Linked DNA regions of Rattus norvegicus. The protein of the gene in region 1 purifies or fractionates together with the protein of each later gene. This does not show direct contact. Links are inferred from orthologs where the notes say so. Each region holds a gene or a part of one and is shown on either strand. Other genes may lie near its edges.

What was found.
Region 2: the proteins of Wwc1 (region 1) and Amot purify together in Homo sapiens (affinity purification with mass spectrometry; 3 studies listed by BioGRID and IntAct, with this or other methods). This does not show direct contact. The link is inferred for Rattus norvegicus from reciprocal best matches to the Homo sapiens genes WWC1 and AMOT.

What each region holds. Positions count from the first base shown.
Region 1 is NC_086028.1:20,955,638-20,959,677, forward strand, and holds the start of Wwc1 (protein KIBRA), read right to left. Parts: upstream 2,801-4,040; 5' UTR 2,419-2,800; coding exon 2,300-2,418; intron 1-2,299. UniProt on the Homo sapiens protein: Regulator of the Hippo signaling pathway, also known as the Salvador-Warts-Hippo (SWH) pathway.
Region 2 is NC_086039.1:113,835,047-113,839,285, forward strand, and holds the start of Amot (angiomotin), read right to left. Parts: upstream 2,801-4,239; 5' UTR 2,364-2,800; intron 370-2,363; exon of another isoform or gene 329-369; intron 1-328.

The sequences.
Region 1 (4,040 bases):
AAAGGCAAGTATTAAGCAATAGTTCAGGGAGATGTACCAGAAAGTCACAAATGTGGCCCACAACTCCCGCAACCTGGCTCATTATCCTCTAGTCAGATCGGTTCTTGGGAAGCTACCTATTTGCCCTCTTCCAAGGGCAATGGTTGGCTGGGTTTTTTTTTTTTTTTTGAGAAGTATTCTGTGCTGTATCATTCCCTCAGCAGATGCATGGTCGTCATCAAGGTTGGCAAAGCAGTACTCACCCAGGAACACACCACCCTACTGCTAGCAGCACACTGGCCTCAGCGGCAGGGACTTAGGTTGTAGGACACATAAACTTAAGTTGTTTGTTCTAAAGAGTAACAAGTTGCCAACACAGTTACAGACACCCCCCTCCCGGGGGGGGGGGTCCTTGCTCTGAGAGGCCGGAAGACAGAGACCGGAAGAACAGAGAGAATTAGAGGTTGAAAGGTAGAGTGTAAGGACAACGTAGTTGGCAAACACTAGGAGCAAATCAAATCCCTGGGTTTCAGATTTTTCTCTTAAGTTTAAAAACGGGAACATTAAGTTGGGTAAAATGGCAGGCACTCGCTTTTAATCCCAACCCTCTGGAGGCAGAGGCAGGCAGATCTCCAGGGCAGCCAAGGCTACCCAGTAAGATCTTATCTCAAAGATCCAAAGTAAATAAGCAATAAACAAACAAACAAGGTGGGGAATGGAGTTGAGAGTTGGTGAGATGGATGGGTCAGTGGGTTAAGCCATTTGCCACTGACCTTGACCCCTGAGTCAAGCTATAAAGCGAAAGGAGCAAACGGACTCTTACAAGTTGTCCACTGACCTCCACACGCATTCGCACTATTAACCTGCATACACACCGTTATTAAACACACACACACACACAGAGAAAGAGAGGGGAAGAGGTGGGGTGAGGCACGTGGGAAGGAATTGGGCTTGCGGTTTTTTTTTTTTTATAAACTTTCCAACTTTTTTTTTTTTTTTTTTTTTTTGAGACAGTGTCTCACTATGTCGCCCTGGCTGGCCTGTCTTTCTATCTCCTGAGTTCCCGTTGTTACTCCTTCCTGTCCAAGCTCACCATTAGTCGGACACAAAAGGGAAACTGAGGTCAAAAGATTAAAAGCAGCCTGCCTAACACTCCGTAGTATTAAACTGTTCATTTCCAAATTGCATGAAGACTAGTGCTGAGCAAAGAGTAGGATCTCAAGAAATGATTGACGAATGAATGGACGAATGAATGAATGAACTCAAGAGAAAGTGAACTCGTTGCGTTCTGCTCCCGCCCCCTTCCCCCCTCATTCACCCTCATCTTGATACACACCCCATTCTGGACTTCTCAGATCCCCTCATCTGAACCCCATAAGATGAAAGGTCTAACAAAATCACCCCGGGTGGCTTCACCCGCACCAAACCCCCAAGGTCACAGACCAGGTGAAAATCCAGCATTTCTAGGACACTTTGACCACACACCTTCTCAGCAAAGGACCACTCCCCTCTTCCCAGGGCAGATGTGGGCCGGGTGTGAGTAGCTGCAAGTGGGAAGGAAGTCTGGGATGGTAAGACTCTACCAGCCTCAGCAAGAGCTAGAGCCACACGCACCCAGCGAGGTGCCCACCAAGGTCAGGATTGTTGAGGAGCCTCTGGCCCCAGAAGGAAGAAAGCGAGAAGAGGAGGCTAGAGGCCTCTCACCTCTATCTGCATCCTAACAGCTTCCAACTTGCTGTGAGATTCCTGGAGAACCAGTCTCCCTCTTTTGCCCTCCCCCGCGCTCCCTCCTTCCCCTCCCACCTCCGGCTTCCCCAGACTTGCTCCGAAGCTTTTCTCGGCAGCCAACGAAGCACCTGTCAAAAAGCAGCTTTCTCTTCGCCAAACAGAATGTCCTTCCTCCAGTAGTCTCCCAGCGACCGGTGGGCTCCCTACCACCCCTCCATGCCAGAACCACCCCCTGGCAGCCAAGGAAGTCCCCAAGGGAGATTCCCTTCACCTCGTTTGGTCTTTGCCTTCACCCTGGCCAGACCTCGCATTCTAAAGGGGTCGGGAACCCTGCTAGAGCTTAAGGTCAAAACTCTGGGCAGGTGCCACCAGGGCCTAAGTCCTCCACCTGGGGCTGGCGGCGGGCGGTCCGCTTGGCGTCCGCCCCTCTCTGCAGCTCTTAGGGCAAGAGTACAGCTCGAGGAGGGGTGAGGGTGAGGAGAGGGGGCAAACTAAGACCTGGTAAGAGACACGCAGAGTTCCCCCTGCACACCAAGGGCAGGTGCGGCCCAGGCGCGGTGCCGGGTCCGGATCGGAGCACTCCGGGTCCTACCTGTCCCGCGGGTCGATCCAGCTGGTGGTGCGGTTCCTGTGATCTATGTAGTAGACCTTGCCGTCGAAGTCGCGCGCCTCCTCCCAGCCCTCCGGCAGGGGCAACTCCGGCCGGGGCATCTTCCCGAGCCTGGCCCGCGCTCCCCCATGCAGCTCGCGGCCGCCACGGGGCTCAGCGGCTCAGGCCGGCCGCTTTGGGTCCAGGCGGCCGCCGAGGCAGCATGATCGGGGGGTGGCGCCCGCGGATCGGGGGCCCTAACGGGGGCCGGCCGGAGTGGCGCCTCTGTCCATGCGGCCCTGCGGCCCCAGCCCCGCGCCGCCCGCCTCTCACGCTGCCATGTGCGCCCGCCGCGGCGCCCAGCCGGCCCGAGTACGCGGCCAGCCAGCCGGGAGAGCGGCCCGAGCCGCCGCCTGCCTGCCCCAGCCGCCCCGCGCTGCGCTCCACGCCGCCGCTGCCTCTCGCAGCCACTGCCGGCGCCCCGTTGCGCGCCCCGAGACTTCTGCCTCCGCCAGGTGTGGCTCCGGCGGTGCAGGTAACTGCGCTGCCCCGGAAACGGGAGGCGGAGCGCCGGGCTCCGGGGTTCCCGGGTCTCCTCCCCGCGCCCAGCGCGGCGAGGGCGGGTCCTAGAGCCCGAGACGCGCCCCCTCGTGGGACAGTCCCAATCGCCGACGACCCCTGCTCTGCCCCAGGAGGCTAGACTCTCTCTACACCGAATGTCCAGGCTCTTGGTGCATGTGGCCCCAAATCTTGACACACCCTGTTTTCTGTGAGATAGACTCAGGAGTCAGGCAAGAAGTGGTTAAGTGAAAACATTCTTGCAAATCGGCGAACATAAGTTTTCCAGGATCTCTCGTCCCTTCCCCCAGCACTCACACCATCTGTCTCCCTCCTATTCAATTCTCCCCGTGTTGTTTCAACCCTCCCCTCCGTAATTTGCAAATGTGGCTGGCTTTCCTTGGGGTCCCTAAAATTAGGAATGCAATGGATCTGCTTCCCTAAGAGGACTTCCAGCGGGTGGCAAGGGAGGAGAAGGAAGGACATATTTTGCCAGTCATAGTGAAGTGCACCTGCCTATCAGCTACTCAAGAGGCTGAGGAAGAAAGATTGCTTAAATCTAAAAGTTCCAGGCCACGTCAAAATAGCAAACACAGGGGATAAATAAATTAATAGTAAGGAAGAAGGAAAGAAAGAAAGAAAGAAGGAAAGAAAGAAAGAAAAGAAAAAAGGAAGAAAGAAAGAAAGGAAAAAAGAAGAAAAAGAAAAGGCAAACCAAAAAACAAGAATGTAAGTAAATGCCTCGAGACACTAACAATACTGAATCAAGGGGGAAAAGAAGATGGTGTCATCCAGCCAAGAATCCTCTGGCTTTGCCCTCTGCCTGTTCACTCTTAGGTCTGGTGTTTCCCCAGTGCAAATTTAACTATGCCTGAGGCAGGAAGCTGGACTAGAAGAATGAAGTCCAGTGCCTTGTCAGAATCTCTTCATTTGGGGAGTAACCAGTCAACTCCCTGTACTGTGTGGGAATCCCCTGTTTGGGCTTCAGCTCCTTTTGCTAGACAAGGCGTTTTAGGGTGGGCTCCCCAAGTCTTAATGCCCTGGGGACATCGGGGGTGAGTATAGTTCTTCCTCCAGTCCATCAATATTAGCTTCAAAGCCAGGGATCTCAGATCCTAGGGAGCTCCTCACCACCCAAGAGTGGGAGGGTTCTCTCTTCCTCTAGACTTCCTCTGATGGGTCAAAG
Region 2 (4,239 bases), on another chromosome or scaffold:
TCTTAGGAGAGGCCCAGAAGCAGATGTACCCACTTAGAATGCTGGCAACTCAGTGGGACCTCAAAGTCAAAGTACCCATCCCTCTATCTTCCTACTACTCCATTCTCAAAAGCTTTCGAAAGTCCTTGTCACTCTATACAAAAGTAGAGGAAAATGGACCTCCAAAAATGCCTTAGTTATGCATTAGTCTACTAAACTTTGCTTCATAAATTAAAAAAATACATTTGATTGTCCCAATCTCAATGACAAATATGAATTGCGAAAATCTCTTTCTAAACTTTATTTTTTGTCAAGTAAAAGGGATTCAGGATGTCCATGTAAAACTTACTTTAAGTACAGGTGGAGTTACAGGATTACTTTGTACCTAGGCTGTGAATTAAAAAGAAAATTAACTTTCAATTTAACAGAGACACAAACTTTTCCAAAGTACAAAGGAACTTAAACTAAAGTATGATGTAGCGCCAGAAAGGGCCCATAAACGACACCAGGCAAACCCATACCGAATAGCTGGGACCTGAGTTATCTTCCGTAAATAGATGTAACTACACTACAACCACCTGGCTATTAAAATGTCCCAGGCCCGTTTTAAAATGTAGTGTGGTCCGGCCAGCTTTTCCCTCCCAGCTGATCTGAAACATGATAGCCTTTAAAATCGTCACTATGTAACACTGTAGCATTCCTTCTCTACCTTCCTGGCCACCCCTGATGCCCTGCCTGCATCTTCCGCAGCCCCCTGTTAAAAATCAACCAAAGATTTTATGTAAATATGTAAATTATTTATTCTCTAAAGAATAAGCAACAGCTTCCGGACATTTTGGGAACAAGTCTTTCAACCCAACTAGTATAAAGCCTGTGGCACTTACTTGCCCAAGTGAAGAGAAGTAGGAGACAGGTAAAAATTTATCCTGTGTCCAAAATGCCATTTCAGACTTTTCTTAGCTATTGAAGGAGGGTACTAAAAGGTCTGAGGTAGTTTCCCAAAGCTGGCCTGAGGAAGAGGTTTCACAAGGCCAACCCAAGAAGAGTTACATATATCCTTAGCCCTTCATCGTTAAAGATTACAGTTGATTATCTTTCTCTCTAAATGAGAGGAAAAAAGTTCTAAGTTTTCAATTGTCTCCCCACATCTGGAGGTGAGGGGCAGTACTGAAAAGGCTTTTTCAAATCTATCCCTTTCATCTTTCATTAATTTGTATTTAGTCCCTTGCTGTAAATTATTCGCCTATTATGATTTATTAGAGGCAATCACCAGAGACTGCTTGCGGTCTATAAAATCTGTCATTCTCCCTCCTCCTTCTCCTTCTCCTCATCTTCATCTATCTTCATCTATCTATGAAGATGGTATTGCTGTTGATGAACAAAAGTACAGTGGCCGGGGCTTGGACCTTAAACCAGCCACCTTCGTGATGTTTCAACCACTTATTAAAATCTTCTGACCTTTTGAAGCAAATAACGGCAATCTCCGCCTCCGGAGTCTCACTACCACTACCACTACACATGCGTCCATAAAGCGAATAGTTGTGTGGTACATTACTTCCACATTTTAAAACTTGAAGAATTCGTGGCCTTGGGTCAGGGAGGGTGAGCTCCCAACCCAAGTAAGCACCTAGGAGAAAGCCATCTAGCTCTCTGAGATAAGGGTAATTCCTCAAGCAGGACTGAAGGTAGAGCCCAGAGTCCCCCTAACTTAGTTACTGGACTGAAGTTAGACTCCAGAGTCCCTAACTTAGTTGCGGGGCTGAAGTTGGACTCCGGAGTCCCTAACTTAGTTGCGGGGCTGAAGTTGGACTCCGGAGTCCCTAACTTAGTTGCGGGGCTGAAGTTGGACTCCGGAGTTCCTAACTTAGTTGCTGGACTGAAGTTGGACTCCGGAGTCCCTAACTTAGTTGCTGGACTGAAGTTAGACTCCGGAGTCCCTAACTTGGTTGCAGGAGTGAAGATAGATCCCGGAGTCCCTAACTTAGTCGCTGCGGGACTGAAGTTAGACTCCGGAGTCCCAATTAATTGCAGGACTGAAGGTAGACCTCCTCGGAGTCCCTAACTTAGTTAAGTCCTTAGTTCCTTAAGCGATCAAATCTGTAGGAACCTACAAGAGCCCAGGGAGGAAGTAAAGTAGCACCAAGCAATGGTACCCCTCCAGCATCTCCTCCTAAAAGTAGGACAGGAACCAATACTTTTAAACTGCGTTAAATAAACTTCTTGCACATCTCAGAAAACTCAAGGCCAACGGCAAAAATAGTAGAACATACAGGCGACCCCACAGGCACATACAAAAACCTACTCACAAATAAGGACGTGATCAAGTTCACAGCACTACAGATTACTGCCCCAGTTCCCCGCAAAAGTAAGGACGCTTCTCCTACCTCTGAAAGCAATGAAGATAAGGTGAGGACTCTCGGTCTGCAGCCTCAAGCGGTTTTGGTCCCGGGCCGGAGGCCAGGGATGGGTTGGGAGGAAGCCCCAGGTCCCGGCTACTCCCAACCTCGCTGCTCCCTCCGGTCTCTCCTTGGTGGCAGTGGACGAGCAGGATACCGGGCCGGAGGGTGGAGCAGCGGATGGTGAGAAGCGAGATAGGCTGGAGGTGGTGGTAGTGGGGGAAGGCGAGGAGAACTAAGGGAAGGGACGAAAGAGAAGGGAGACGGAGGGGTGATTTCAGGGGTCTACCAGCGAACGCAGCCCGAAAGCTCCTCGGAAGGAAGGGGCGTGACTGCGATGAAGGCAGCTCCTGAGAGAAGGATGAGAGGTAGAAGCAGGGGAGGCACGGTGGCTTTTCTTCTGGCGGTGAGCAGCTAGGACCGCCCACAAGAAGGGGGGCTGGAAGATGGGATGGGCCGGGCCGAGGGCGGGGCCAGCAGGGCGGGAGGCAGGGGGGGGTGGAGGCCCGCTGGACTCTGGCGAAGGGGAGGAGGCGGCGCCCCAGGAGGTCAGGCGGCCTTCAGGCGGGGAACTTTCAAACAATTGATCTGCTACGTTGGCTAAGATCAGGAGTCTGGGAGAGATCTGGGATAACGCGCAGGCTCTCCAGTCCTCCCACGCGGCGGACTCTACTCCGTGATGGTAGTTCCGATAGTGTGTACAGGAATTAAAGCGGGAGAAGAAAGAAAGGCACCGGGTTTGATTTTTTGGTTTTGGACATTTGGTTGATTGGTTGGATTTTTCTTGTTCAAAGACTTCAATAATCTATGGCAGCAGAGTAGCAGAGACGCGTGGGAGAGTCAGCACAGCTCCCAGCCCCAGGGCGGGAGGAAGAAAAAATCATAGAAATGCATTTAAAAACAAAAACAAAAAACAGCACGGAGCCAAAGCTTCCCAAAATTCAAGAACAGCTTTCCTTCGTTTTTACCCCCTTTGTTTCCTTTGACCACCTAAGGCAAAACCAACAAAATGCCCCTTTTTCTTCCGTCATCCTGCCGGGTCAGCCTCTTGCCCCAAATTTCTAGAAGGGTCCATGTCCCCCTCCCGGAGGCCGGTCACTAGGGAGCCAAGGGATGGGCGGGACTCAGGAGAAGCTCCACCTCTTGGCCTGGCTGGGCGTGCTTACTTTAGAACAGCCGGCCCTTAGTAAGACCCACCCACCATTCTTCTACATCTACTTATTGGCCAGTCACGACTGCTGTTGGCCTATGATTGGTCTCTTTAGTTGCCAATCTTATCCTTTGATCCCATCCCGCCCTTAAAATTATTAAAACTAAACAAGAGACTATTGTCTAGCTCTCTGTTCTCCCCAGCTTCTGCTGGGGATAGATGAGATGCTTGACTTCTCAGTATCCTAAAAGGGTGCGACAGTGCGTTAGCCAACTGAGATATAACTTTATATTTAAAGCACTGTCCAGCTCTCTGGGAATTGGTAACTTACCTCTTAGTTCATAAAACCAGGAACGGACAATACATGAAGTGTCATTGTGGTACTCACATTTCCTTCCAGTGGAAAAAAAAAATGATACTGCTCAAATACACGGTGAGTTGAGTACTACAGTATCCCAGGACACAGGGTTGGGTTTGGAATCTGCAATTTACCATTTAGGTAAGTGAAAACACAAACATTAAAGGGAAGCAAAATAATGAGAAAGTTGGGACCAAAGAAAGAATTCACTGTGGGCTCTAGCACATATTACCTGGCTGGGTGACTTTTAGAGAACTTTAATTTCTCAGCCTTAACTTTCTTATCTGTAAGTAAACGCCATAAGGCATGTACCGTGTTCTAACTGGCACTGATGGTAAAGTCAAATGAAATGTATG